5 linked regions of the Danio rerio genome follow. The protein of the gene in region 1 interacts with the protein of each later gene in a biochemical or structural test. Links are inferred from orthologs where the notes say so. Each region holds a gene or a part of one and is shown on either strand. Other genes may lie near its edges.

Region 1 (5,848 bases):
TGTGCATGTTCACAAGCACTGTATTTGTACATGCCCCTAGATGCCTGCATGCAACTTTCTCACAGTACAGTACATCTGAGGTATTTATCAACAGAGCGACCAAGCGCCCTATTGATAGTTTTCAGTCACGTAACATGCGCAGAGACTTGGCGGGCATAAAATCAAAGGGCCATAATGGCAGCTACACTAGGATCTCCATAGAAATGCAGCACAATTTGGTCATACTTTCATTTGTTTCAAACTACAAGTAATAATTGGACACAACAAAATAGAGATATGATCACAAAATGTAAATCGTGGGAACTTGCGATACACAAACTGTATCCATGTTCATTTTTAAATCATTTAAAACCATCAGATGATATACACATACACATTACAGTATTCTCACAGCTTGATGACATTCTGATTGAGCATATGATCTGTTTTGAGGATGGTTTTTGATATTTTTCCGAACTTTGAACATCCCTGGACCATTGCTGTCTATGGAGGATGAGGGAGCTCTCTTTGTTAACTAAAACTGAAAAAGGTCTCAGGGGTTTGGAATGACATGGGGATGAGTAATTAATAGTAACATAGTTTTCATTTTTGGGTGAACTAACTCTTAGATTTGAATGATCATACTTTAAATGAGCACTTTTTAGAGTTTTACCATTTTTTTTATTTATTCAGCCGATCTCAGGGTCTAGCATGAGCACCTTTAGCTTAACCTAGCATAGATTCTTGAATCGGATTAGACTATTAGCATCTCTTTCAAAATATTTTTGTCATAATTTTTCTAGTTTCAGCTTGACACTTCTGTAGTACTAACACTGACAGAGGCTGATATGGCTCGGAAACATATTTCCTAACCTGATTTCATGATCATTCCTGGATCAACATCTGTGTTTATCCTAGAACAACATTACAATCAGCCAATCAGATTGAACTATTATTGCCCTCTGATTTTGAGAATAATGTACAGTTATGGTTGGGTTTAGGGGTAGGGAATAGGATTCAATTTTTCAAACAAAAATGATGTTCCAGGATCAACATTCATGTTAATCCAGGATCACATCATACTCTGTAAAAATTTCAATGTGCGTACTACATTGAAATGGTCTTTTAATATTTTCGGCTAGAAAATTGTATGGCACATTTAAAGTTCTATAAATTATTTGTTCGTACTTACAGCTTATATTTAAAGCTCAAATATTCCCTGCAAGGCTCTATTAAAAGATTTTTTTAAACTTTGAAGACAATTCCTTTTGTATTTTAAGGTCAGATTCATTCCAAACACTTAATTGCAAGTACTCCCTTAGCACACCTATACATTTTTATTTTTAACTGATGCAATTGTTATTAATTGATCTTTTCATCATGTTCTCACATCTGTTTGAGATCTTGTGTAATGAACTTTTTGAATGAATAAATGTTGTGCATTTTTTGTGAGATTCAATTAAAAAAGATTTGGTCACTTTAGATCTTTTTGAAAATCCAGCATTGAATGTCTGATGTTTGGGAAAAAATCTGCAGCAAAATGAAGTAAATGAACAAAGGACAAATTCTCACTTTTGTTAAATAATTTATTATTATTATTATTATTATAAATGTTTTTTTTAATCATTATTTGCTTTTTTATTTCCGTGGCTCTGCCGGTTGAAGCAAGTTCATAAAATTTTATTGCCAATCTTTCCACAACCATCGCAGAGTCCCAGGGATTGAATAGAAGCTGGCTTAGATGCCCTCCTGATCCAGTCTAGAAATTAATTTAAAAATAAAGTCCATTGACACTTTCCTTATATTGGGACTTGAAGGAAAGCAATGCAAAGACAGTATTTTGACACAGTCTGGCTTTACATAGCATCTTTTTGTTTGTCATCTTTATTGTTGATGCGTTTCAACTCAAAAATGGTGGGCAGAGCTTAACAGGCAGTGATGTAGAAGCAGATGTTGATGGAGGTAGAGTTTTGGTTAAACATTTTGTAATAAAGTGGCTAGTTATTCCGCAACCTGTCAACTTAGTAGACTGGCTTCAATGAAAACTGTTTTAGTTTTAAAACTTACAGATTGTTTAGTCCAATGGCATTCTAAATGTGAAAAGATCAAGGGATATTTGATTTCTCAGTTTATGACCCCTTTAAGGACTGAATTGCTGAACGAAAAGGTTTAGCAGGATTGAATGTTTTTGGGTGAACCATTCGTTTGATGGAAGGAATGTCTACTTGTTCGGTCTTGATATATAATATCTTCTATCCTGTGTTGTAGCGTGTCATATCCTGGAGTGCTCTGAAGGCTTGGCTCAGGAGGTCATCAGCACCATAGGTCAGGCTTTCGAGCTCCGCTTTAAACAATACCTAAAAAACCCACCCAAAGTGGTCACCCCCCATGACCGGTAAGAGTCATTTTTGGACAAAAGTGCAAATGTTTACATTAATGTCAGTGTGTTTAGATGAGTGTGTGCACATTGATTAATGACGGTACCTCCCTAGGGTCTTCGGAAACCCCCTTAATATCCTGTATGTGTACGTGTGTGCATACACACCATTTCAAGCTTGTTGAACAGAAGCATTGTTTCTGAACGTCATTCAAGAGTCTTGAATACACAAGCTTGAAAAACTTGTCAGTGTTGATATGATAATTCATTCATTCATTTATTTTCTTTTCGGCTTAGTCCCTTTATTAATGTGGGGTCGCCACAGCACTACCTACTGCGCCACTGCATTGCCAGCATCTCATTCAAAATAATTTTTCAATTTTTTTCTAACTAAAGCTTGACATTACTGTAGTACTAACACTGACAAGAGGCTTATAAGGCTAAAAAATATATTCCCTAACCTGATTTTACCAAGTAGGACATGTTCCTGGATCAACATCTGTGTTTACCCTAGAACAACATTACAATCAGCCAATCAGAATTAAGGAATATATTTCCCGTTTATGTTAAGTTTAGGCTTACAGTTTATTCAACTATTATTACCCTTTTTTAAGAATAATCTACAGTTATGGTTGGGTTTAGGGGTAGTGAATAGGTATGGATTAGATTTTTCGAACAAAAATGATGTTCCAGGATCAACATAGATATTAATCCAGGATCACATCATACTCTGCAAAATCATAATGTGCAAACTACATTGACATGGTGTTTTAATATTTTTGGCTAATTCATTCTTTCATTCATTTTCTTTTCGGCTTAGTCTTTTATTAATCTGGGGTTGCCACAACACTACCTACTGCGCCACTGCGTCGCCCTTGATATGATAATATATTTTGAAATACAAACCTACACTGTTTAACAGTATTAAATCTATTTTAGGATTGTTAATTACAGTGGTACTAAAAATAAAGGTCAAAACAAGATAAATGACCTTCAATTTAAAACAAATTAGTGAAAAGCTAAAAATGAAAATGTACTCCCTATTAACTCTTTTTCAGGTGGTTCCAAGTTTCCTTCTTCTGTTGAACACAAAAGAAGATATTTGAAAGGCAGCTGTTTCCTTTGACATCCATAGTAGGAAAAACAAATACTATGGAAATCAATGGTTACAGGTTTCCAGCATTTTTCAAAATGTCTTTTTTTTGTGTTTAACTGAGGAAAGAAACTCATAAAGGTTTAAAACAAGTAAAGGAAGAGTGAATGCTGACAGAATGTGAATTTTTGTGCACTAGGATGCAATAAGGAAATGTATTTTGTTTAAAGTATTTTTACAAATGTAAAAATACAAGAATTTATAAACTTAGTTTTGGAAGATAATCTGATCCATTTGTTTGCTGTTCCCACTGTCATTTCGCCAAGCGTGTGTTTGTTTCTGCTGGTTTCACAACAAAGAAGTGCATCATTTAAAATCTCTCAAACAGCATGTCCATGTAAACATAATAATATAATATTGTGCTTCTTTATCTGTCTCCGTCTCTTAGCATGGCTCCGTTTGATGGGTCAGCGTGGGAGGAAGAGGAAGAAGATCTGGCTCCTCCGCCAGAGGTGCCATATTACAACAACTTCCCCGGCAAACAGCCTCCTCCTGGTGGTTTAGTGGACATGAGGACCCGTCCCGGACACAGTACAGGACCCACGCTGGTTAGACTCTTGTTTTAGTGATTCATCAAATGGTTTGCTTTAGTGATAAACGCGCACCTTTCATTGTCCTGATTTCTTTCACTGGCATTAACATGTTTGATCATTTTTGTCTTTCTGGTATGAAAATGGTGGTTAATCTGCAATTCTCAAAGGCTTGATTGTGTTTATTTGTTTTAAAAATATCGAATTGATTTTTACACATTTAACCTCTTTGTGGTTCTATTAAAATGTCATCCTCAACGTCTTATGATTGCTTTGCTGGTCCAGTGTGTTCTTATTTGTTGGCCTCCTTTTGCACATTGAAGGAAACGTTTCGCCAGTAACTAACTAACTAACAAACTAGCTAGCTAGCTAATTAACCTAAACTAAAGTGTTACTAAAAAGAAATCACAATCAATGACCTTGTTAAAGGGATTGTTCAACCAAAATTGTACATTCATTCATTAATTTTCTTTTCAGCTTAGTCCCTTTATTATTCTGGGGTCGCCACAGCAGAATGAACAGCCAACTTATCCAGCACATGTTTTAGGCAGCTAATGTTCTTTCAGCTGCAACCCATCTCTGGGAAACATCCATACATACTCATACTCTATGGACAATTTAGCCTATCCAATTCACCTGTACCGCATGTCTTTGGACTGTGGGGGAACATGCAAACTCCACACAGAAACGTCAACTGACCCAGCCGAGGCTCGAACCAGCGACTTTCTTGCTGTGAGGTGACAGCACTACCTACTGCGCCACTGCTTTACTCTTTTTGGTAGGGAAATGTCCTTAAGCTGGGATTCGAACTCGGGACGACCTGACATGCTACAGCACCATATGTCGACACACTAACCACTAGGCTATTCTGCCGTCCTAAAATTGTACATTTTAATAAAATACACAGAGAAAAAAATATTGTTGCAAACTATTTATATGGGTTGAATTTAAACAAACAAATTGAATGTAGTAATGTTTAATTTGATTATTTTATTTGTTTGTTAAAATTCAGACCAAATGAATTGTTTGCAACCACTTACCTTAAAAAAAATTGTATAAGTAAAGTCAATGAATATTTTATTCAGTGTATTACCTCACCCTCAAGTCGTTTCAGGCATTTATTTGAGTACAAAAGAAGATATTTTGAAAAATATTAATAACTTGTAACTATTGACTTCCATAGTAGAAAAAGCAAATACTATGGAAATCAATGGTAGCAGGTTTTCAACATTTTTCAAAATATATTTCTTTTGTGTTCAACAGAAGAAAGAAAGAGGTTTGGGACATGTGAATAATGAGTAAAGGATGACATAATTTTGTCTTGGTTGAACTATCCCTTTAAGACCCAGAGGATAGAACATACATACATTCAACAGTTTATAAATGTAATCTTGTTGTATTACTGTCTTAATACATTAAACATTATCAAAATAATAGATTTAGGAAATTAAATTTAGCATATTACAGCCATATATTCAAGGTGTACCGAGTTTAATTAAATCAAATATTAGTAAAAATATGTTCATTTGTTGTTTGAACATACTGAAATCAGTGTTGATGGCTCTTAAAAGTCTAAAAATGCCCCAAATTATTCCCAAACTAGAAACTAAAACTCAACTTACTTAAACTTTGGCTTCCAAAGAGAGACTTCAGGGTACAAGAAGCATGATTCAGTGTATAAAAATGAATTAAATTGCTTTGTTCATTCATGAAACACCCACACTGAATAAATATGTCACCATCCCACTGCACTGTATCTCCACAGCCCTATGGACAGCCGAGCCAGAACGACATTCACAAGCAGCCTCT
Region 2 (5,848 bases), on another chromosome or scaffold:
CTTAAGACTTTGCGCTTAGATCATTAGATTGGCTTTAAGTAAATAGTTTACATCCAAGGAGTTTGGCTGACAAAAAAACTTGGACCTCCTGATATGTTAGCTTTAGCACTGAAACCTTAAGTTAGCTAGAAGATCACTGCACTTTCACTGAGTTTCACCTTGTGTTTTTGTCTATGTCATAAAAAGCAATGTGTCCGATGCAAATGCCATATTATTAAAAATTAATTTAATGGAGAAAAACTAGCTTCTACTGTATGTAATTAACCAATATTGAAATCATTACATGGCATTCTAAGTATGATGGATGTTCTGTCTTTTTTGTTTGTAGGTAAGGTGCTCGGCCATGGAGCTTTCGGGAAGGTGATTGAAGCCTCAATCTTTGGTCATGACAAGAAATCCTCTGCAAACACAGTGGCTGTCAAGATGTTGAAAGGTTCAGTCTTACTCGTAAACTGTGGTGAACACTAAAACCCCATTCCTTCTCACATACGTTTACTGAACTCTTTCATATCACAGAGGGAGCAACAGCCAGCGAGCACAAAGCCCTGATGTCAGAGCTGAAGATCCTCATTCATATTGGAAACCATCTCAATGTTGTCAACCTTCTTGGAGCTTGTACCAAACCTAACGGTATGGATGGAGAATTAGGAAAGGATGTTTTTATTCCCTGTTACCAATTATTGTGATAAATTGGTTTGTCGGCAGCCCTTTTTAAAACTTCTTTTCTATATCTGTTTATCAGGTCCTCTCATGGTTATAGTGGAGTATTGTAAATATGGAAATCTGTCCAACTTCCTGCGTGCCAAGAGGGAGTTTTTTTTACCATACAGGGTGAGAGAGACTGAAATGTTTATTTATGTAACCTGATGTTACACAGACAGTAGGCTGCACCCTCAACACCCACAATCAACTATAACTCAATATGAGATGTGCATGCGTTTGCAGGATCGTTCTCCTAAAACCCAAAGTCAAGTGCGACGGATGATAGAAGCAGGTCAGGCGAGCCAGAGTGAGCATCAGCCGTCCACTTCCTCCACCAACCCTCCACGTGGTAAGAGAAATCAGAAGACCAATGGGAAGAGTATACCTAGCTAGCAAAATTCATGTGACCTAAATCCGGCCCACACCAGACACTTGCATCTGACCCACATACCGCATGGAATGATGGCACTTGGGCGATCCGCTACTGTTTGCCAGATCTGGGCCACAAAAGCCATAGCAATGTCACATATTAGCCAGAATTCAAACAAATGATCCAGAACTGGCGCTATTCTGGGCCACACTTCGCTTTTATTCTAGCCCAGATCCGGCCCACACCAGACACTTACATCCAGACCACATACTGAATGGAATGATGGCTCTAGGGTGGTCCGCTCCTGTTTTCCAGATCTAGGCCACAAATTAGCTATTACTACCCATATTTACCATGTCAAAGAGCTATGGTATGACCCCTATAATTATCAAATGATCAGTGTACTTTATCTTTGCCAAAAGTGACCCATTATACGTTTTAGGATAACAGTACCATACTTGCCACATATTACCTCATTTGCTTTGAGCTCTCACCATCTTTAGCCAGAGATACTCACCCATATTTGCCATATCTCATCTGGACCAATATAGGCTCACAACTACATTAGCTAGACTGTGCCAAATATTTGCCAAAAGTGGTCCACACATGTCTTAGGATTAATTGGGCCACATTTGCAATCACATTCTTGCATATCTTCTCTCGGCCACTTTAGGGTCACAGCGACATTTGCCAAAGCTTACTGTTTTGAATATTTGCCAAAAGTGGCCCACATATGTGGTAGGATAACTGGGCCAAATTTTCCATATCTTCCCTGGGCCACTACAGGGTAACACCCACATTAGCCAGAGTATACTGTGCTGAATATTTGTGCAAAGTGGCCTACATATGTCTTTAGATGACTGGGCCACATTTGCACCTACATATGCAAGCCACTTCGAGTTTAGACGCAGACTAACCTTAAATGACTACAGTATGCCACATTTTTGCCAACTGTGGCCCACATGTATCCTCTGTCATTTGGGCCAAATTTTCCACATGGGTCACATTAGGCTCACATTCAGATTACATTTTGCCAAAAGTGACAAATTTTTTCCTTAAATGGCCCATATATGAATTGGAATCTTTGCCCCCCTTTTGTCATTGTACAGGTGGGCCATTTCAGGCTCAGATTCTATTTGTCTGGGCCGAATGGAGACCACTATTGTATAACTGGTGTAAAGTGGGCCACGTTTGTTTGCTATCTGGGTATAAACTATTAAGGGGACAGTTCACCCAAAAATGACCACCTTAGTGGTTTTAAACTTTATGAATTTATTTGTTAACAAAATATTGTGAATGAATTTTGGTAGGAAAATGGCTGCTACTTACTTCCCTAAATATTTTCAATAAACTTTACAAGAAAAATGAAGTATACTTGAACTTTATTTATCTAATAAAATGCAGCAGTATCATACATTAAAATAAGATGTTTACCTTGTAGACAATATTGCAAAAAAAAAAAAAAAAGACTTTAAAGTGCACTCATGTGCCATTTTAAAGTAGGAACTTAGCATGGCAGAGAAGAGCATGCCATGGTTTATGCAGTAAACTGTAGGTTTTAAAGTGACAATTCACCCAAAAATAGACATTTTGTCATCATTCTTGTCATTCTTGTCAAGTCAGGTTTGTCATTTCAGCCATGTATAGCACTGACAGTTTGATCTATATTATATACATTATATATTACACAGGGATAATGGCATATATTTGAATTTAAAACATGCTACAGTGCAATAAACCTGGGCCTTATGCTTCCAACAACAACATAAAGTCCTGAAAGAGGTGTGCTTGTAATTCCATAATATTTGAATCGGGGAAAAATAAGGTATTTCTGTTAATGTTATTGTTGTTGTTATTATTATTATTTTTGAAATATGACTGTAAGTGAAGAGTTCACATGCAAAAACTTCTAAGTGCCGTCTGAAATTTCCATCCAAAATGAACATTTTTTTAAAGCCTCCTTTGTTTATGTTGATATACTTTACTTTAAAGACCAGGAAAAGGACTTATTTTTGCCATAAAAGTGATATTACTGAACATACACACAGGAGCTTGATAAAATTTTTAGTTTTTCTCGTTTTAGAGAAAAATACTAGATGGAATTTAGAGGTTTTTGCATTTAAACTTTGGAAAAGAATGCAGAATCAATCATGCTGATAAAAAACACCAGAGATTATGAAAGCTTTTCTGGTTGAGACTGGGATGAATAAAAAAAAAAACAGAACATCATAAAGACTTTTCGGTTCTTTAGATTTGACACAGTCTTTCTGACAAATTTCTGATTTAAAGGTCCCAAGAAGTTCTTGGAAAAGTGCATTTTTATTTGACTGAAACCGGAATAGAGGTTGGGACATAAAGTAGCTACTCCCCTAAGAAACAGCCAATAGCGTTTTGTTCTTTCACAGCTCTGCCAGTGGAAGCGGTTGAGTTCAATCGTATCAAATGAAAAGCAAATGAGAAGCATCTTGAAAAGGGCAGGACATGTCAGATACTAGAGAGCATTTGACTGATCAAGTATGTGGCAATAGGCCACATGTGTCAAACTTAGTTCCTGGAGGGCCGCAGCTCTGCACAGTTTAGTTCCAACCCTAATTAAGCACACCAGATCATTCTAATTGAGTGATTAAGTCTTGTTTGATTCCTACAGATAGGTGTGTTGAAGCAAGGCTGGAACTAAAGTCTGCAGGGCTGCGGCACTCCAGGAATTTAGTTTGTCACCCCTGATTTAGGCAGATGTGACAAACACACAAGCTTTTGATATTTACAGTTGAACCCCCATTTAAAAATTTTCTTCTTTTTTAAAATATTTCGCCAATGATATTTAACAGAGCAAGGAAATTTTCAAAGTATGTCTGATAATATTTTTTCTTCTTGAGAAAGTCTTATTTGTTTTATTTTGGCTAGAATAAAAGTACTTTTTAATTTTTAAAATTATTAGCCCCTTTATCTATAGTCTACAGAACAAACCATCATTATACAATAACTTGCCTAATTACCATAATTTGCCTAGCTAACCTAGTTATCCTAAATAACCTAGTTTAGCCTTTAATTGTCACTTTAAGCTGTATAGAAATGTCTTGAAAAATATCTAGTGAAATATTATTAACTGTCATCATGGCAAAAATAAAAAAAATCAGTTATTAGAATTTAGTTATTAAAAGTATTATGTTTAGAAATCTGTTGAAAAAGTCTCTCTATTAAACAGAAATTGAGAAAAAAAATAAACAAGGGGGCTAATATTTCAGGGGGGCTAATAATTCTGACTTCAACTGTATATGTTTTAAATGCAAATTTCTGTCACGATTTTGTACCACAACTCATATTTATCCTTAAGATTAGCATACCAACATCTAAAAAACTTTATTTTAATTTCACTGGACCATTAAATGTGCACTTGAATGTGTACTAAAGTTAATAGCAACTATAATGCATTAATAATTTCTCCTTCACCAGTTACAGTGGATGATCTCTGGAAAACTCCACTCACAATAGAGGATCTGATATGCTACAGTTTTCAAGTTGCACGAGGAATGGAGTTTCTGGCATCTCGTAAGGTAATTTTCAAACATTTATTTAATCTTAACCTCTGTGATGAATCCTTTATTCAGTTTGTATGTTATTGCTGAACTTTAGATGTTTTAACACTTTATTGCCATCGTAAATGTCTAGTTTACCTTTTGTCTGTAGGTTATCATTTAAAACCTCCTCAAAATTTGTTTGAATTTATTCAAAGAAAGTGGTCAAAAAATTCTTATAGTGAAATTGATTATAAAAAAGAAGGTCATGATGATAAAAAAGGGTTTTGTAAAGCTGGAAGCAAATTGTTACAAATGGCAACAAATAGCCCAGTGTTGCCAGCGTTTTACAACCTTGCACCTTTCACCTCACAAAAGTGTCCTCAGTTACATCTTCCTACAACAGTTTTTATCATTGGTAGAATACACGTTGGTAGAGTAAATTATTTCAACACAGTCATATAAACATAATGATGCAATGTATCAAACCTTTAACCCTTGGAATAAAAAACAACACTTTAACAGCACTGAAATACCCAGATCACACACGTAATTATATATATAATACAAATATAATAACATTTCAGCAAAATTTTGTAATATTTTTGTTATGTATTAATTTTACCTGTTTATTAAAAGTTAATTTCATATTTTCCCTAGACATACTAATTTGGATGTACAAATTTTTGGACTGTGATTTTTTAATATATAATATAATTTATAATATAATATAATTTAAAATATAATATTTTACTGTAAAGCATCCTGTTAAAATAAAAAATTTAAAAGAGAGATCTGTGCAGGGTGTACTCATTTATGCTGAGCACTGTATATACGCTGTATACTATATATATAGTGTACATACACTGCTCAGCATAATTGAGTATACCCCATTTTGAAAAAGAATAGTTTTATGCATTTCTCAGTGAATATAGGCAATGTATGTTGATGCATTTAAACAAAAAAAAATTATTTAACAGATATATTCATTTAAATAATATTTTAGTCAGCAAACATATTTAGAAATTGAAAGATTCAAGATACAATTAAATTCAAGCAGAATATTGCAAGAATAATTTACAACCTACAAAATTTCAGCTCATTTATTTTATTATTATTTTTTTTTTTGCTTTTCTTGATTTTTCCTGTTTTTTAATTTGTATTTAATATTTAAAAAAAGATATAAATTTGGGTGTACTGGTTTTTGGACCATTTTTGTTAGTTATTTTGTTAGATAAGCTCTTGATTTGGCTTTAGTACT
Region 3 (6,448 bases), on another chromosome or scaffold:
GTCAGTAACACTTTATAATAACTACACACTATGAACTATTTATTAAGCATTAGAAAATAGTGAATTCATTATCTGTTAAGCATTAACTCTACATTAATAAACGTTAGTAAACAGTTTACTAAAGTTACAAATGCTGTATTTGTAGCTTTTTAAGTCAAATGCTTTACTTAGAACCACATTTATAATGTGCTTAATAATTGTACTTTCATACTTTGTTAATGATTTATTTTTCATTACTTAATTTAGTATTTAATTTTTACAAACCAGTTATTTAAGCATAGTTGCTTGTTTTTTAGGATTATTTAGAATGAGTTAGTAAATGATTTATAAACTGTTCAAATTAACATTTATATATCTTATTATTCAGGCATATAGTAATAATTCATTTGTATGTTAATAAATGCTTTATAACTCAACTTCATCCAGTTTTGTGACCTAATCTAAAGTGAGGACTATTTATGCTTTATAAATTCTTAATAAATGACAATTAAAGGCTCAGTTCTATTCTAAACACAAAAAAAGAAAACAAACGACTTTATTCACTCATATTCATTTGAAGATACACAGGTGAAATTGTATACTTCAATTGAAAAATAAATCTTTGCAACCTTACCTAAAATAAAATTGCTGTATAGTTTAAACATCACATCCTCTTATATTGCTTAATTATTATATTGTTGTTGTTTTAAACAATTTTATGTTGGATTTTGACACTCCTGTCATTTAGCAATGTTTAAACTTTACAGTGATTTTACTTTTTAGATAAGATTGCAAAGATTATTGTTTATTTGAAACTAAGCATTTTATCATCATTTATAAGAGATTTATAAAGCATAAATAGTCCTCACTTTAGACTAGGTCACAAAACTGGATGAAGTTGAGTTAATAAAGCATTTGTTAGCATACATAGTAACCATTAATATATACCTGAACAATATCCTTGATTAATATATACCTTGATTTTAATAGTTTATTAATCATTTACTAACTCATTCTGATCTTAAAAACCATCAACTATTCTTAAATACAATTGGTTTGTAAATAATGCAATACTTCATTAAATATGAAAAATAAATCATTAACAAAGAATGAAAATAATTATTATTAAGCACATTATGAATGTGGTTCTAAGTCAAGAATAGAGCATTTATAGCTGCAGTTATAACCTGCTTACTAACATGTATTAATGTAGAGTAACAGAAAATGAATTCACCATATGTTAATGCTTAATAAATGGTTCATAGTGTGTTGTTATTATTAAGTGTTACCAAAATGTCTTTTTGACTCATTAATGTATTTTAGTGTTAATTATGTGATCTGTGCACCTCCATAAAGTAAAAATTCCATTTTAATCCAAAACCTAAAATCACACGCTTAATGATTGTAGGATAATAATCTAAATCCTTTGCACTGAGTTGAAACTTAGAGCAGTGAGTAGGCACAAAGCTTCAGAGATAACTGAGTGAGGCGTTTAGCATTACAATAACATTCCAAAGATACCAATCCCACAAACGTGAACGTTCTTTACTGAAACTCTTCACTTTTCTATCATTGCCTGCAACCTTGTTCTTTGCTTTTAGATGTTAGTATTATTTTTCTAAAATAATCTTTTTCTGCACTTTAAGCCATACTGTATAAACAAATTCAAGTTTAGTGTAGGCCTATATTTAAATATGTACATCTCCTGGCTATAAATGTAGACTAACGTTAACTGACAACATTGATTTCAAGATATTTGCTTTAAAATGCCATTCGGTTCTTTTGAACAGCTCATTTAAAGATTCGGTTCAAAAACAACATCAGCGAGTCTTTTACGCCATGACGTAATTACGTCATAGTGTATCAAGAGACTTTGATGTTTTTATTTCTTACTTTTTCTCTACGTCTTATAAAGTGTATATCCGCGATGCTGTTTAGTTTTTTTGTGTTTTTATGTGTGAGTGACTGATCTGATTGCTTGTTTGTTAATTCAGGCATTTCTTGCCTAAATGTGATTTTCCTTCACGTTATAAATATATTAGCTACATACAGTAGTTTTACCCTTTTTACCATTTATATTTGTAATATCCTCAGTGAAGAAGCTCATCAATCAAGGATGATCAAAGCCGGCTCGGTTCAGAGACTTTTTTAACCATACTGAAGTGATAAATAGATGTATTGAGTGAAATCGGAATTATATATAATTATAGTCTAATCCATTTTTTTCTTTATTTTTTATCAGTGCGCGTTAATTGTTAAAAGATTATACACAAAATAACACTGCTACTTTGTTTTTCACAGTTTTAATCCAAATGTAAGTAAGATTTATTTGGGACGTAAGAGGTTTATTTACACCTATTCTTTGTAATGCGAGTCACCGTCCCAGTGTTTTCCCTCTGACGGGGCAACACTCCAAGACTACATTTCCCATGATGTAATGTTCTTTATTCTGTGTCTTGACCGACTTCTCCCTGCCTCCATAGGCCAGAGGAGGCTGAGTTTAGGGAAAGTATCGACGTTTATGCTTGTCAATCAGCAAGGAGCCGTGGGGAGTGAAACTGGAGGGAAGGTCGACGATCGGGGAAGATTTCCACTTCCAAAGGCACTTCTGTGCTAATGCGACCATAATGTTTTGGAAAAACAAGGAAAAACTGTACATATTTTCAAGGAAACTGTTTTGTTTTACTTTGAAATAAGGTAATCAAGCAGAGCTTTCACTACGCCGAACTTGGCGAGTATCAGTCGCTGCCTCGTTGCATATCAGCTCGGAAAAAAACGAAAACAGCGTTTTATTTACACGGACAGAGTGTGTAAACTAAAAGGGGACTCAACTACAGACGGATACATGTGTGTTTAAACAAACTGTGCTTGATATATTCCCTTCGGCAGAGGATAGGACTTCATCCAGAAGAGTTTGCGAGAGCCGCGTCGCTGTCGGGAAGCTCTTCCCGTGTGAACGTGCTGGAAACCAGGAGTGACGGTATTCATGTTGTTTCAAACACATGTGCTTAAAACACTTCAAAGCGCAACTTCCAACTCATGTTTAGAAATATGTTTTGATATGTTACAGGCTGAAACACGAAACTTAAAACCCGTGTTTTCCTCAAAGCCTTTAAGAAAATGAGCGGAGGAGATGTGGTTTACTCGGGGTGGCTCCGAAAGTCTCCACCTGAAAAAAAGTTACGGCGTTATGTAAGTAACGTTTTAGTTTTATTCAAATGCACCGACAGTGCAGTAACCGCAGGACTGTTGGGGCAAGATTCATGCAAATTTTCAGTACGCTTTCCAACAGCAACCGCAGGTCAATCACTGCTCGCGATCTGTCGGTTAAAGCTTTATCTTTCTAAAATGCGGACGATCCAAGAATAGTTTCAAAACGGGTTTAGTTCCTCATAAAAATGCGACTGAGTGTGTGTGTGGACGCTGTTTATGTGTTTATTGCACTGGGGTTGTTTTTGTGAAAGCTTTGCTTGTGCAAATCTTTATTTGTGGCGTCTTGATCGGTTCTGTAGACACACCTACCGGTATGGGAACTTTTTGATCAATTAAAGAAGCAGTTCCTTTATTTTTGTTGTTAAGATTTAAACATAAACAAAGAGCACTTTTAAGAAATATCACGAAACATTGGAACTCTGGTGCTATTTTTTTAGATAAGGTTATTTTTTATACACGACGTGGGTCGCCCCTCATGGGTGGCGCCATGTTGGTATCACATGACATAGTTGATCCAGGTACAAATAATAACAAAAGCAGAAATATTTGTTTATATAGTCCTTTAGCTAGTGCCCAGGCCATAACCATTAAGCTACATATACATATTTAAAGCGCAAACGGAACACATGGCTACTTGACAAAGTTTGAATAAATAAATATGCAGCTGCTGCAGATAGACAACTTGTGGTATTCTAGTTAGTACTGGAAAACTAGCTTCCAGTAAATGCACCCATAAGTGGATAAAATCAATACATGGATTTGTGTAGCATGGTAAGCAGAAAAAAAGAAAGACATAACCCAAATCAAACTTCACGCATCCATGCCAAGAGGAGTCAGTACAAGTCCAAGGCCTTTGCTACACCTGTAATCACAAAGAGCCAGCTGTGAAAACCAGTGTGATGCTTATTGTTTGATTTGAATATTGCCATGCATCAAGGTTGCAGAATACAATGCCGGTAAACAGATATATCAAAATAATTTTCAATGTATTCATTAGATTGAGTTGTAATGTTCAGCTCTTTAAATATCAGATCACTACTTGCCCCAATGATGATTGGTTACTTGCTCCCCTATCTTGTGTATTTTTTTTTGTTTTGCAATCATTCTGGTCTGTTGTGAAATTTTCAACATTTTGTTTTTAGACATTTTATTTTTCACCAAATCACACGAAATGCCTTTGTTTGCTGCAACTTTAGTTGCCAAGACAACTGAACACTTAACTCTCCATTCTATCTGCACTGGATGAGTCAATGCATTTAGTCATTCGCACATTGTATGTGTACCATGGGGTCTTCCCTTCCTCTTAGTGGTAATATACACCAATAATCTGTAATGAAATCACTTACTTACAGCTCTGCCTGCTATCGAGCTCCAACCAAACATGTTAGAAATCTCCTCCAGGCTCATGTGATGTTTTTTATTTATTATTGGATTCCTTTAATCTAGTGGAGCTCTTCTTGGAATATTGCTATTGAATTCATGTTTTATCTCATTGTGCAATCAGCAACACGTTTTAGACTCAAACAGCCAAGTATTTTACAAGATTAGAGTATTTGGCTTTTTCAGCCTTTGTGATTTAAGTAGCAGCTATTACATTTGACCTTGTAGTCAATCCAGGAAAATTCAATGGCTTGAGAGTGTGATTTCACATGCTTTGAACTGGCAGAGTAAAACGGTAGTCTGTTGAATGTGATGAACAATATTTCATGGCTCCAAATCTAATTAAAATGATTTCTGAGCTCATCCACACGATGCTATAATAAGATTAGATCGATGCAAGAACAAGTGCTTTGTTGTACAACGGTTTGTTCTCAGAAGTCATTTTTAGATTTCCTCTCGTTGAGAGAGATTTAAACAGCGTTTGTGGACAAAGGCCTTTGTCTTCTTTAGATGTTTTCATTATGCTTTAGAGTTAGATAAGAAACTTCCTTCAATTTATCCCTTCTTTCTTGTTTCAGTAAGCTTACAACCTTGTGTTACTGTAGTTTTGTAGTGCTGTCCTCAACATTGGGCTTCATTCTCAGTCTGTTTTCTAGTGAAGTGGTCTCAGAAGTATTGCATGTAGTGCTTGAAAGTGGCTGATTAGGACCAGACTGTTTTTACTGGAGTCAAGTGGCTAATAACTGAAATGCTTCTTTTCTAGAGGAGCCCCATGCCAGGTGTACAGGCCTATTAGACTTTTGAGCAGTTGTACATTTATCAGCAGATGTTCTAATTAAAGATGCATTTTGTAATGATTGCAGTGAATGAGCATCTGAAACTTCAGATGAAGCTGTAATTTTTTTAGCTTCAGAGTTCAGACAAATTAAATAGATAAGTTCATTCATTCATTCATTCATTCATTCATTCATTCATTTTTCTTTTCGGCTTACCCACTTTATTAGTCAGAAGTTGCCACAGCAGAACCACCAACTTATCCAGCATATGTTTTACGCCCTTTATTAGTGGATGCCCTTTCAGCCACTACCCAACTCTGTGGAAACACACACAGTCATTATATGTATTTATTTATTTTATTAAGTTTTTTAAATCGCACTAACTTACAAATGTTTACGGTTATGACATATTATTTGAACAAATAAACATTACTAATTGTTTTAATTAATACCTTAAAACTTTTTATTCCTCAAATAATCCTGAAAAGTCACAAATGTAGTAACGTTTTTTTTTTAAATAAGTTTTTTTGAGCACAAGATCTACAATATTAGGATGATTTTTGAATGTTTGACATTGAAAATCGCTTCTGTAAACTGAAAAAAGCCAACTTGAGTAATAGATTACATTTTAATGTAAAAATAAAACTTCAAAATAATTTTATTTAATATTAACGATTTTTATTTTAATAAAATATATTTACAATGTTGGTACACACATTACACTTAATATCTTGCCCCCTAAACAGTAGTTGGTGTCATTCACAACATTCTGCATCAACTCTCATTCTGTGTCATCTTGTTAACATGCCTTAGTTAAAAAGAAATCTTCTTTTTAGCTAGCTCATGTGATATCATTCATGGTTGAAACCCTTCAGAAACAGAAGAAAAAGTCCTACAGCTTGCAGACTAAAACAGTATCATCTTTTATTATAGACTAAAAGACAGATTTGCATTTTATCCAACTGAAATGAGCAAACTAAGGCTGCACGATATTGGAAAAATCTAAAATTGTAATATTTATTCTGCAATTTATATTGCGATATGAATACAAGATGAGTTTAATAACTATTTGGAAAGAATTGATAATATTGATTGGGATG
Region 4 (5,848 bases), about 21 Mb from region 1:
CATATTCATAGCTGAGTTTTCTTATCCTATGAGGAGAGCCGGCTTCTTAATTATTTATGACTGCATGTGCTTTCCGAAGGCAAAGCAGACCTGCCAGTGCCAAGCTGTGAGACACAGACCCACGGCACACAGTATTTAGCGGTTAATAAAGGGTCGTATGTGCTTGTTTCCATGATCCACAGGGTTTGTTGCATGTTTTTCCCTGCAATGCTGTCAGGGCCGCCGATACAGCAAAGCTGTTTGTATGCAGCAAGCATTTTTGTCGGGAGAGCAGTACGAGAATTGGAGAATGGTGGACGTTGTCTTTTATCAGGAGTTTGTTCACATTTAGACACAGCGCTGTGCTGCTGTGTTTGCCTAAATGCTCCAGATTACCAACAGGGCTAATGGTTAAAATAGACAGGGCAAGAGACCTGCTGCACTGAGTCTGCATTCAGACCTGGAGATTGAGGAAGAATCCTCATTTATAGTGTTTATGTGAACACGATTATCTTCATAATGATATAAATTGTGGTTGTCTGTATATGAAATTACAAATAACAAATGTAGCGGGGGGATTAAATTACTGTATATTTCTTTGCATTTTACCTTATAAACTCCTCATGGTTTGTGTCTCATTTTGTGAGCCAACTGACAACAGTTGTTCACTCCCCTCCTTCTCCCCTGCTGGCCACGCCCACTCCTTCCCTTTGCTCATGGAGCTCCACCCCCATTATGATGCATCTTTTGAAAAAAAAAAAATCTGATGTAGAGCTGAACCGAAAGTGGGGGGCGTCATGACCCTTTAACATAGAAGTTCTACCAGAAAGAAGCAGATAAATGTTTTGATATTTATCGTGAATTGATGGATAAATGTAAGTTTGTTACTGTCCTTTTATAAAGCCCTTTGGCTTAAGCCTATCTATGTTGTAGAGCTCTGGATGAGCTGGCAGATCCTGCCTAAAGATGAAGGCAGGGTGAAGCCAATCCCTGAGGGGAGACGAGGCCAACCTGGTGGTGGTGGGGAGGATGGAGGGAAGCTTTCGCAACGTCACCTGAGTACAGCAACACAGATTGTTTAGATGGGTTTATATGTACCGCGCTTGGTTGTTATAGGATGACGAGATAACTTTTATAAATGACGTAACATACCAGTCTTCCTGGCAGAACTATTGCTAAAGCTTTAATTTTTAGTAAGTTGAAACAGTGTCAGTCCAGTTTTCAGAGTTGAAGTTCAGTTTAGTTACATGTTTCACTGCTGAAAGTCCAAAGTTTAAAGGGCAAATCCATAAATGTGCAGCCCCAAAAGTCCAAAACCAAGCAAGCCAGAAGTGACAACCACATTCCTGACAGACAATTTTGTGACAGACAAAGGAGACATCCAAAACATGCAGTGCTGGTGGTCCTCCAGGAACGTGGTTGAGAAACACTGATGTAGAGAAAAATTCAACTTGATTGCTGACGTAACTATTGTACATTTTATTCATTTGATTTTTCCAGGGCCAAGTCACAAAAGGTTTATGCGGTCCCACCCGGGCAGCACTTCTACGTGGTTCCACGGGACGCATACGGCTATTTTACTGAGCTGGAGATTTCTGTGACAGCAGCGAATGTCTTTGGAAACACAACCACTGATCCTCTGAAACTCACCCCTTTGAACACAGGTAAACGGGTCATTTAACTGATAAGACTTTAAATGTGAGCTGATGAATATAGGGGTTTTGCTAATATATACACTTACCGGCCACTTTATTAGGTACACCTATGTCTTCAGAACTGCCTTAATCCTTAGTGGCATAGATTCAACAAGGTTCTGGAAATATTACTCAGAGGCTGCGTCCGAAACCGCATACTTCTATACTATGCAATATGTATGCGAGCCGAGTAGTGTGTCTGAATTCATTAAATTCGAAAATCAGTATGCGAGAAGTACCCGGATGACTTATGACTTTCGGCGAGATTCCGGAGTGTGTATTCCATGCACGCTGCGCTATCCCATGATACCCCACGAGGGAACTCATGAATGGGTGTAAAGCGACGCAATTGACGCAGGTAGGTCATGTGACTATGACAAAATGGCGGATGTAGTACGTCCAAACTCCATTCATACTTTTCACATTCTGTAAAGAACGTACTATTCTAACGGCCGAGTAGTACGTTTAAATTCAAATGTAGTACCTACTGAGTAGTACGCGGTTTCGGACGCAGCCTAGAGATTTTGCTCAATGCTGATATGATAGCATCATGTAACGAGTGGTTATTTAAGTACCTGTTGTCTTTCTATCAGATGGAACCAGTTCATTCTCCTCTGACCTCTGGCATCAACAAGGCATTTGCGCCCACAGAACTGCCGTTTTTAAAAATGGCGTTTCCTTTGTTTTTATTATCCTGCTTGTCCACAAGCGAGTGACATGTCTCTGTAAACCAAAAGCAATCAGCTTGGTACCTTTTTTGGTACCACTTCAAAAAGTGTTATGGTACGGTTCTTCTTTAGATACCTTTTGACAGTGGAAACGACCATAAAAGCGTACCGAACCATACCGAATCGTACCACTCAGTGGAAACGGGCTATTACTGCAAATTTAGCAAAAGTGAAATGCACAATATGTCCTCAAGAGGGAGCTAGATCTACGTTACAATTACAATACAATTTAAGGGCTCTATTTTGACGGTCCATGCGCAGAGCGCAAAATGCAGGGCGCAAATGCTTTCAGGCGGTGTCAGGACGCGTTTTTGCTAATTTAAGGACGGGAAATCTGCCTTGCGCCGTGGTTCTAAAAGGGTTGAGTTTATTTTCTTCATAAGTTATAGGTGTGTTTTGAGAATAAACCAATTAGAGTCTCATCTCCCATTCCTTTTAAGAGTCAGCTGCGTCACGCCAAGAGCGCATTCGCTATTTACAGGACGCAAAGTAAGTCTAAGTGGAAAAACTGAGCATTTCACAAACAAACAGTTCACAGTTGACAGTTCTTTAACAGAAAACTGTTAAACAGAACATCTACTGCGTGAGAATGAGGGATAATGGATCTACTTTTACATTCGCTCGTGGATAGGGACACCTTTACGCACAGACATCAATTAGTCTATAAATAAATACTTTTGTTTGTTAAGCGCAAATATTCGTTTCAAAACTATTTCTAAATTCAGTTCTAATTTCCAGCAAACGAATAAATGAATAATAATAGCAAAGTGTGCTCAAAAACCTGAGTTATATCCTAAAACACATGCTGTGCCCCATATGGTCTAAAACATGACAGGTGGGCAAATCTAAGCTTGTTTTTAATAAAACAAATATAAATATGGATATAATAAATAATACTGCTAATAATAATAACATTATACAAAAGCAAATTGTTATGAATGAACTGAAAAAGCCTCCCGAGATGAAGAAGACATAAAAGCAGTGATTTTTCATATTTATGTAGGCTAGAAAATAATATGTTTTTTAATATTTTAATCTTTTATATTTATATTCTATATCTATTCTTATTATATCCTATATATATCCTTAATATTTAATATTTTTCTTATGTAAAGATATTTGCCTATTGCTCTCTTGTGTGTATTAAGCAGTGTGTAAGCGAGGAGTAACTCTGCGCCGGAGTTTAGACCGGGTTTGTTTTGGTCTAATGAAAAATCTATTATAGTTTCTCAAAATAGCAACGCGCCAGCGGTCCGCCTCAGAACGCCTTCCTTTTTAGACCAGAACACCTATGGGCACACAAATGAGCGCTAATGCATTTGCTATTTAAACAGCGTAGCGCAACGCCTCAAAACGACTCTTGCGCCAAGCTGAAACTACCAAAAGACTATTGCGCCGCGTCTTGCGCCACACTGCGCCGGATGTATGATAGGGCCCTAAGTGTGTTGCATTATATTTTAGCCTATTTGATGAGTATTACAGATTCTACACTACACTGTCACTTATACACAATCCTGCATCAGGTAATTAAAAATAAATTAATTAATTAAAAATATTGATCTTCTCTGAATGGAAGAACAAGCCATGAAAGTAGTTATAAAAAGCCCAAAATGTCCATAAAAAAGATGTTGAGTGTTTATTACTGTATTTTATTTCAGTGAAGTTTGATCCTCCAAGTATTACCAGGATTGAAGCTCACAGGTATGGCTGTTTAAAATACAGCTGGAGTCTTTCGGAGACTCAGAAATGGCTGCAGTTGACCTTCATTGTGCAGTTAAGATTGAAAACCGTGAACAACCAGCCAAACAAAGACCTGGTGAGTCAAAGCTAAACACGATGACATCACTTTTCCACAAGGTGAGACTGTCAGTTATCTAAAAAGGTGTCTAAAATGTTTTTATTCTGCTTTAGGTTTATACCTCCAGGCAGTTACAGCTAAATCCGATTGAAGTGTGTAGCCTCCTCCATTGGACAGATTACAGAAGCACAGTGAGAGTGAAATATTATGCAACTAGTGAATGGAGTGAATGGAGTGACCCAAAAACTGCTACAACACTTAATAAGGGTAAGGAATGATTTCAGTATGGCTCCCACATGGGCGATCGTAGATTTAAGCATCTCCAAAATAATTAAAAAAAAAAAAAGTTTAGTTTTTTATCATTTTTAAAGGGCTTGGATTTGACCCCTTTTACAACAAGTAAGATAAGATTTTGGTGTCTCCAGGATAAAGTTTCGGTAAAGTTTCAGCTCAAAATACCCATCAGATTATTTATTAACGCTGCTGAAACACTTTGATTGACATTCTCCCTTTGTACGTGTCTTCAGAGGGGGAAAGCCCCGCCCTCTAGTGACCATCTCTCCCTCATTAGCATAGGACGTTAGTCTTGTTTTTAAATCTGCCACCATGCTGACACAGGGGCATTTGTAGCTCTTTTGAGAGGTGCGCGACGGCCACGCCGAGGACTATGCGTCTTTGATGCAGAAATATTATCAGCCTTTAGCCCTCACGAAGGCTGACACGCACCTCTCAAAAAATGTAAATACACGATGATGCATGGCGACGCATCAGAAGCTCTGTGATTGGTCGCCTTGGTAGCTGTGCTGAGTGTGGGTGGTACTGATGGAGCCCGATGGAGCGAGTGTTTTACAAGTGTCAAGTCACGTGAAGGAGCTCCAGATCGAAACTTTTGTTTTGTGTTTACCTCATGATTAAAGTTGTTGCCCGTCCGCCAGTTCCTGCCTCTGAATGAGCTAGTTTTAGCTACTTATAGCGTTCATAAAAAAAAAATACCAGCAAAGAAACTTGACACAGAGGAACATATAAACCTACTGCCTGCTAGCGTTTTGGAAGTGTTATTGCAGACCAACACAAACAGCACGCAGAAGTCTAGTTGCACGACTACCTGCAAGGCAGGCATCATGGGTCATGCCGATCACTTGACGCAGAATTGTAAACCAGGAGGAGGCTATGGGAGTGAGGCTTATGTGTATGAGTGTGGCCTCCGTTACACACTATACTACAATATGCATTGGCTTTTTTAAAAATAGTTATAAATAATACACTTTAGTATGGTTCAAAAGCTTTATACTATAAATTACTATTGCATTTTAGTTTAATTACAGGTGCGCGGGCAAGTGTAGTGCTTTGAAAGAGTAGAAATGTATGTAATCAACGCCTAATATCTTGCTATTCACTTTACTGACCCACGAGGGTGTTTAAAACTCTAAATCAAAATTCAAAGCAGTCACGTGGTTATAGTTGAAAATGACGCTTCGGACGTCACTGATCATGTGACGATGGCAAAACGAATCAAGCTCCAGTTCACTGCTTCACTGCGAGATGTATCATTTTTTTTGATACAGTGCACAACGTCACAACACTACATAATAGATCCCCCTTAATTTTAGTGAATTTATATACAATTTTTTTTATACTAAATAACAGCA
Region 5 (5,848 bases), on another chromosome or scaffold:
AGAGTTTGTGAGGAGTCCTGATGGTGAAAACCAAGAGATGGAGGGCTCAATAAAAGTGCGATTTGCAGGACAAGTTGAGGTAAAAACTGTATTTAATGACACTTCACACAAAACTGAGCATTCTTTCATTATTTACTCACCCTCCAATTGTTCCGAACCTGCTAAACGCAATAGACAATATTTTGAAGAAAACTGGAAACCTGTAACCATTGACTATGGAATCAATGATTACAGGTTTTCATCTTTCTTCAATAATCCTTCTTTTGTGCTCAGCAGAAGAAAGAAACTAAAAAAGGCTTTAAAACCACATGAGAGTGAGTAAATAGTGAGTAAATGCTGGGGTAAGCTAATAGACACCAAAATACTATGAGGTAAAATTCAGCCACCATGTTTACATGGTCTTTGTGAAATGACTTTGCAGCTCACACCCATCATTGCAGATCCAGAATACCTCCTTGATCAGCACATCCTCATCTGCATTAAATCCACGGATTCTGATGAGTCATATGGTAAGTTCATCAAAAATAAGTGAAAGTTAACATTCCTATAATCTAAACTGGCCTATTGCTCACTGACCACATCTGCAAGCAAGTCATTTTCTGATTGAGGCCCATATTCTACTTAAAATGTAGGTAACATTTATTTAAAAAGCATCACCTATTAGGTCTCAAGTCATAGTTTCTCGGTCCAATCCTAAAAAAAACAATGGTATTAATATATTCTCAACAGCTATTAGTTACACCTGTTCTAATTTTTGTTAATGTAAATATCTGAGCACTCACAAGCTCTTCTGCAGTGCTGCATTTAACTCAGAGTTGAGCAGTGGTGGAAAGAGTATTGGAAAACCATACTTAGGTAAACGTACCATTCATACCTGCCAACACTACCGTTTTTCCCGGGAATCTCCCTTATTTCAGACCCATCTCCCAGTTTGTTCTGTCTTCTGGAAAACTCCTAGAATTTCACCCCCTCCAAATGCTAGCAACTTACAGCAAGAAGGTCACTGGTTCGAGCCCCAGCTGGGGCGGTTGTCATTTCTGTGTGGAGTTTGCATGTTCTCCCCGTGTTGGCATGTCTTTTCTCCGGGAGCTCCGGTTTCCCCCACAGTTCAAAGACATGCAGTTTGGTGAATTGAATAAGCTAAATCGGCTGTAGTGTATGTGTATGAATCCAAGAGTGTATTGGTGTTTCCAGAGGTGGGACAAAGTCGTTGTTTGGCAAGTCACAAGTAAATTTTAATTCATTGCCCTCAAGTCCAAAGTCAAAGGCCAACAAGTCTCAAGTCAAGTCCAAAGTCCTACGGTTTGACATTCGAGTTTTTTCGAGTCTTTTTTGGGTTGTGGCTGGAAAGGGCATCTGCTAGGTAAAACATATGCTTGATAAGTTGATGGTTCATTCCGCTGTGGCAACCCCAGATTAATAAAGAGACTAAGCCAAAAAGAAAATGAATGAATGAATTAATGAATTAATTAATAATTAATTAGTATTGGACTGTTTTTATGTATGTAAACACAATAATTTTGTTCTCTGTCTCTAGGTGAAGGCTGTGTGGCGCTTCGCTCTGCTGAAAGCTCTTACACTGAATTCAGCATCACACTCACACACCATGGTGAACGCACAGGCTGGCTAACAGGAGCCATTCAACTGCCCAAATCTGAAGGAAAACAGACAGAGAAACTGTATGGTGAGTGCACGCTTTGTACAGCAATGTCTGTTACATGCCAAATGAAATCCTGTTTCTGCCCTCATATCAATTTAAATAATGATTAATTTCTTGCATTGGATAATTTAATTGCTTAATTAAATTTGAGTTTGTTTCTGAAAAACATTTTTCCTCAGAATTATGGTTGAATATACTGTACAACTGTTAGAATAACAAGTTCTGAGAAGAAAGGTCTGAGGTATAAAAGAGTAATAAAGAATGTTTGGATTAGAAGATTAAGTATGGTGTTACCTTTATTCTTTTTATTCTGAGGTGGAAATGAGCTTCCGTAGTTACAACTAGAAGAAAGCTGTAATATGTGTTTTGTCTCAGAGTATTGAGGCCATGTCCCTTTTCTTAAAATAATCTGGCTTTTTTCTGTTTTAGATTTCATTAAAGTCGGAGATGATCCAGGAGCTGGAAAAGGCAAAACAGGAGATAATACGAAAATGTAAAATATTTCAATACTCCTTTACAATTTACATGTGTTATTTTATGACATGGTAATATCTAAAAGTATTATGTTACTTATGTATGCCTTTTTAAATCAAAGTTTCCATATTTAAAAAAAGGAAACAAAACAAAAGTAAAATGAATTATAAATATAAAATAAAAAATAATAACATAGAAAAACATATTTATATTAATAAAATAATAATAAAAAATATATAGTAGCTTTCATTCATTCTCTTGTTGGCTTAGTTCCTTTATTAATTCGGGGTTGCCACAGCAGAATGAACCGCCAACATATCCAGCAAGTTTTTTTACGCAGCGGATGCCCTTCCAGCCGCAACCCATCTCTGAGAAACATCCACACACACACACTACAGACAATTTAGCCTACCCAATTCACTTGTACAGCATGTCTTTGGACTGTGGGGGAAACCGGAGCACCCAGAGGAAACCAACGCGAAGGCAGGGAGAATATGCAAACTCCACACAGAAACGCCAACTGAGCTGAGGTTCGACCCAGCGACCTTCTTGCTGTGAGGCGACAGCACTACCTACTGCGCCACTGCCTCACCCTTCTATAGTAGCTTTCATTATAAACATTTACTGTAAATGTCAAACAAAATTTTAATAAATAATGATGTAAACTAGAAAGGCAAACTTCGTAGGCAAATTTTTTGCCGGCAGCTAGCTCTCTGCAACTTTCACATGGTCGCCTACTGAAGCTAAGCAGGGCTGCGCCTGGTTAGTACCTGGATGGGAGACCACATGGGAAAGCTAGGTTGCTGCCGGAAGAGGTGTTAGTGAGGCCAGCAGGGGGCGCCCAAACTGCGGTTTGTGTGGGTCCTAATGCTCCAGTATAGTGACAAGGACTCTATACTGTTCATTGAGCACCGTCATTAGGATGAGACGTTAAACTGAGGTCCTGATTCTCTTTGGTCATTAAAAATCCCAGGATGTCCTTCGAAAAAGAGTAGGGGTTAAACCCCAGCACCCTGGCCAAATCTGCCCACTGGCCTCTGTCCATCATGGCCTCCTAACCCTCCCCATATCATCATTGGCTTCATCACTCCGTCTCCTCTCCACCAATCAGCTGGTGTGTGGTATGCGGTCTGGCACAATATGGCTGCCATTGCATCATCCAGGTGGATGCTGCCCACTGGTGGTGGATGAGGAGATTCCCTCTATGTGCAAAGCGCTTCGAATGCCGAGAAAAGCGCTATATAAATGTAAGGAATTTCTATTATTATTTATAGTGGCTTGAGAAAGCCTAGTCTGACAGTTTGAAGTAGTTTAAAAGTTTAAATCATTGAAGTAGTTTTTAAGTTGTTATAAAAAGTTGGCATAGATAGATAACTACATATATGTTTGCATGTTTCAAGTGTGAATTGGCATGTTTCTTGCTAGGCGGTTGATAGGGTGTTCTGAGTGGCTGCTAAGGCACTGCTAGGGTGTTCTAAGTGGTTGCTAGGCGGTTCCCTATATAGCGACTTAATTCAGTATAGTTAGGAGGTTGTAGTATGAACGGTCTAGGAGGAGATATGTTCTTAAAATAGTCGAAGAAGAAGAAGAAGAAGAAGAAGAAGAAGAAGAAGAAGAAGAAAAAGAAGAAGAAATCTATGTTGTATAACAGTATGTTGGTTTTCTCAAGCCACCATAACAATAAAAAATAAATAAATAAATAAATATATAAATATATATTTATATTAATAAAATAATAATAAAAAATTATAATAGCTTTCATTATAAACATTTCCTATAATTTTTTTTCAAATGTTTTTAATTTATTTTTTATTTAAAGTGAAATTGAAATGTGTGCTATACAAAATCTGATCTGTCTGTTTTATTTTGCTTGAATAGAAATGTGCACACTTTGCATTTGTTTTGGTTGCTTGACATGAATTAATATAAATCACAGCACGTTTGATGATAACCTGATGTTGTTATATTTCCCACTTCCTTTGAGATGCTTTACACAGATTACATTCATGTTTGTACACATAAACCATCTGACCTTCTTTGACAGGTCTTCTTCAGTCCTCGCTTCTGATATCAGTAACCCTAGTTATATGGGTGTAGGCTATAAGAGTGGTATCCAAGCCCCTGGCAGCCTTACTTCCCAAAGAACAGGGCCATCAAAGGACATGACGCATGGCAATATCTCTCCAAAAAAGACAAGTTATGATCATGCTACATCCAGTCCAACGGCAAAGACATCTAACCCTATGTAAGTATCCACCTTATTTTTTACACAAACATGCACAGGTATTTAACTTCGATTACAGAGTTTTTTGCAGTATAAAACATCATGTTATGCAGACCAGCATTTTATATTGTATTATTTTAATTATTGTCATAGTTATAAACACACTAGTTTACCCTGTATTGAACCAATGCATGTAAAGAGTAGGAGTCACAAAAATAGAACATCTCAGAAAACAGCTTACTTCCTTGTTGAACTGTTAAATGAAGTAAAGGCAAAGCTCGAAATTACATTATTATTGTTATAATGATAGAATACTTTAAAGTTAAAAGTATTTTTGATGTTTTCCAGTGTTGGGACATATGCTGAATAGGTTGGTGGTTCATTCCACTGTGGCAACCCCAGATAAATAAAGGGACTAAGCCGAAAAGAAAATGAATGAATAAATTAGTATTTTTGGTATTTTATTGTAGGCATTATTTATGATTATTAATATAATAATAATGTTATTATCATTATCAACATCATTATTATTATTATTATTAGTAGTAGTAGTAGTAGTAGTAGTAGTGGTAGCAGTAGTAGTCGTCGTCGTCGTCATCGTCGGGTAACACTATAATTACACACTATGAACATTTTTTTTTGTTTGTTTGTTTGTCTAGCATGGTTGATCCGTGCTGATGACAGTTCCAGATACAGTGTTTCCAATAGTGAATGTAACCAGTGCTTAACTGAAAGATCATGAGGAGGTTTCTACCTCTGTGCCAACATTTACTTTTTAGCAGTTGAAGCACTAACCAAAAATGTATGGATCTTTGCAATTAAGAGAAATCAAGAGTTATCATTCAATAAAAACAATACAGGATCTTTGGGGAAAGAAATTTTTGTTACTTTAAATAAAATGTCTATCACCGAATCTGCAAAAGTTTTGCACCTCCGGACATTCTCACATCATATGTAAAAAGGTATCTAAACGCTGAGGTTCACAGAACTTACAAAAGGGACGTGGAGATAATAAACCTATGATATGTTGTATACCTGTGTTTAAATATGCCCTGTGAATAATTCACTATGAATAATTTATGATGCATTAACAAATAGTAAATTCATTATCTGCATTATTTTAATAGACATTAGTAAGGAGTTTATAAATACAGCTACAAATGCTGTATTTTTGACTTATAAGCACATATATAACGTGCTTAATGACTGTGTTTTCATACTTTGTTAATGATTATTTTTTCATTACATTATTAAGTATTGCATCATTTACAAACTAGTTATTTAAGAATAGTTGGTGGGTTTTTAAGATTATCCAGAATGTGTAAGGAAATGATTAATAAACTATTCAAATTAACATTTACATATCTTATTATTCATGCATTTACTAACAGTTCATTTGTATGTTAATTAATGCTTTATTAACTCAACTTCATCCAGTTTTGTGACCTAATCTAAAGTGAGGACTAATTATGCTTTATAAATCCCTTATA

Evidence for each region.
Region 2: the proteins of shc1 (region 1) and flt4 form a complex in vitro, tested with the Homo sapiens proteins (2 studies listed by BioGRID). The link is inferred for Danio rerio from reciprocal best matches to the Homo sapiens genes SHC1 and FLT4.
Region 3: the proteins of shc1 (region 1) and gab1 form a complex in vitro, tested with the Homo sapiens proteins (2 studies listed by BioGRID and IntAct, with this or other methods). The link is inferred for Danio rerio from reciprocal best matches to the Homo sapiens genes SHC1 and GAB1.
Region 4: the proteins of shc1 (region 1) and csf3r form a complex in vitro, tested with the Homo sapiens proteins (2 studies listed by BioGRID, with this or other methods). The link is inferred for Danio rerio from reciprocal best matches to the Homo sapiens genes SHC1 and CSF3R.
Region 5: the proteins of shc1 (region 1) and inpp5d form a complex in vitro, tested with the Homo sapiens proteins (2 studies listed by BioGRID and IntAct, with this or other methods). The link is inferred for Danio rerio from reciprocal best matches to the Homo sapiens genes SHC1 and INPP5D.

The regions. Positions count from the first base shown.
Region 1 is NC_133191.1:24,103,825-24,109,672, reverse strand, and holds part of shc1 (SHC-transforming protein 1), read left to right. Parts: intron 1-2,247; coding exon 2,248-2,374; intron 2,375-3,897; coding exon 3,898-4,057; intron 4,058-5,804; coding exon 5,805-5,848. UniProt on the Homo sapiens protein: Signaling adapter that couples activated growth factor receptors to signaling pathways. Participates in a signaling cascade initiated by activated KIT and KITLG/SCF.
Region 2 is NC_133189.1:18,115,502-18,121,349, reverse strand, and holds part of flt4 (vascular endothelial growth factor receptor 3 precursor), read left to right. Parts: intron 1-328; coding exon 329-433; intron 434-516; coding exon 517-630; intron 631-742; coding exon 743-831; intron 832-945; coding exon 946-1,051; intron 1,052-4,525; coding exon 4,526-4,626; intron 4,627-5,848. UniProt on the Homo sapiens protein: Tyrosine-protein kinase that acts as a cell-surface receptor for VEGFC and VEGFD, and plays an essential role in adult lymphangiogenesis and in the development of the vascular network and the cardiovascular system during embryonic development.
Region 3 is NC_133176.1:38,638,403-38,644,850, forward strand, and holds the start of gab1 (GRB2-associated-binding protein 1), read left to right. Parts: upstream 1-2,465; 5' UTR 2,466-2,959; intron 2,960-3,049; 5' UTR 3,050-3,099; coding exon 3,100-3,171; intron 3,172-6,448. UniProt on the Homo sapiens protein: Adapter protein that plays a role in intracellular signaling cascades triggered by activated receptor-type kinases. Plays a role in FGFR1 signaling. Probably involved in signaling by the epidermal growth factor receptor (EGFR) and the insulin receptor (INSR).
Region 4 is NC_133191.1:3,330,374-3,336,221, reverse strand, and holds part of csf3r (granulocyte colony-stimulating factor receptor), read left to right. Parts: intron 1-1,479; coding exon 1,480-1,643; intron 1,644-4,059; coding exon 4,060-4,217; intron 4,218-4,312; coding exon 4,313-4,466; intron 4,467-5,848. UniProt on the Homo sapiens protein: Receptor for granulocyte colony-stimulating factor (CSF3), essential for granulocytic maturation. Plays a crucial role in the proliferation, differentiation and survival of cells along the neutrophilic lineage.
Region 5 is NC_133181.1:30,679,941-30,685,788, forward strand, and holds part of inpp5d (phosphatidylinositol 3,4,5-trisphosphate 5-phosphatase 1), read left to right. Parts: intron 1-2; coding exon 3-79; intron 80-421; coding exon 422-509; intron 510-1,537; coding exon 1,538-1,684; intron 1,685-2,089; coding exon 2,090-2,153; intron 2,154-4,178; coding exon 4,179-4,379; intron 4,380-5,848. UniProt on the Homo sapiens protein: Phosphatidylinositol (PtdIns) phosphatase that specifically hydrolyzes the 5-phosphate of phosphatidylinositol-3,4,5-trisphosphate (PtdIns(3,4,5)P3) to produce PtdIns(3,4)P2, thereby negatively regulating the PI3K (phosphoinositide 3-kinase) pathways.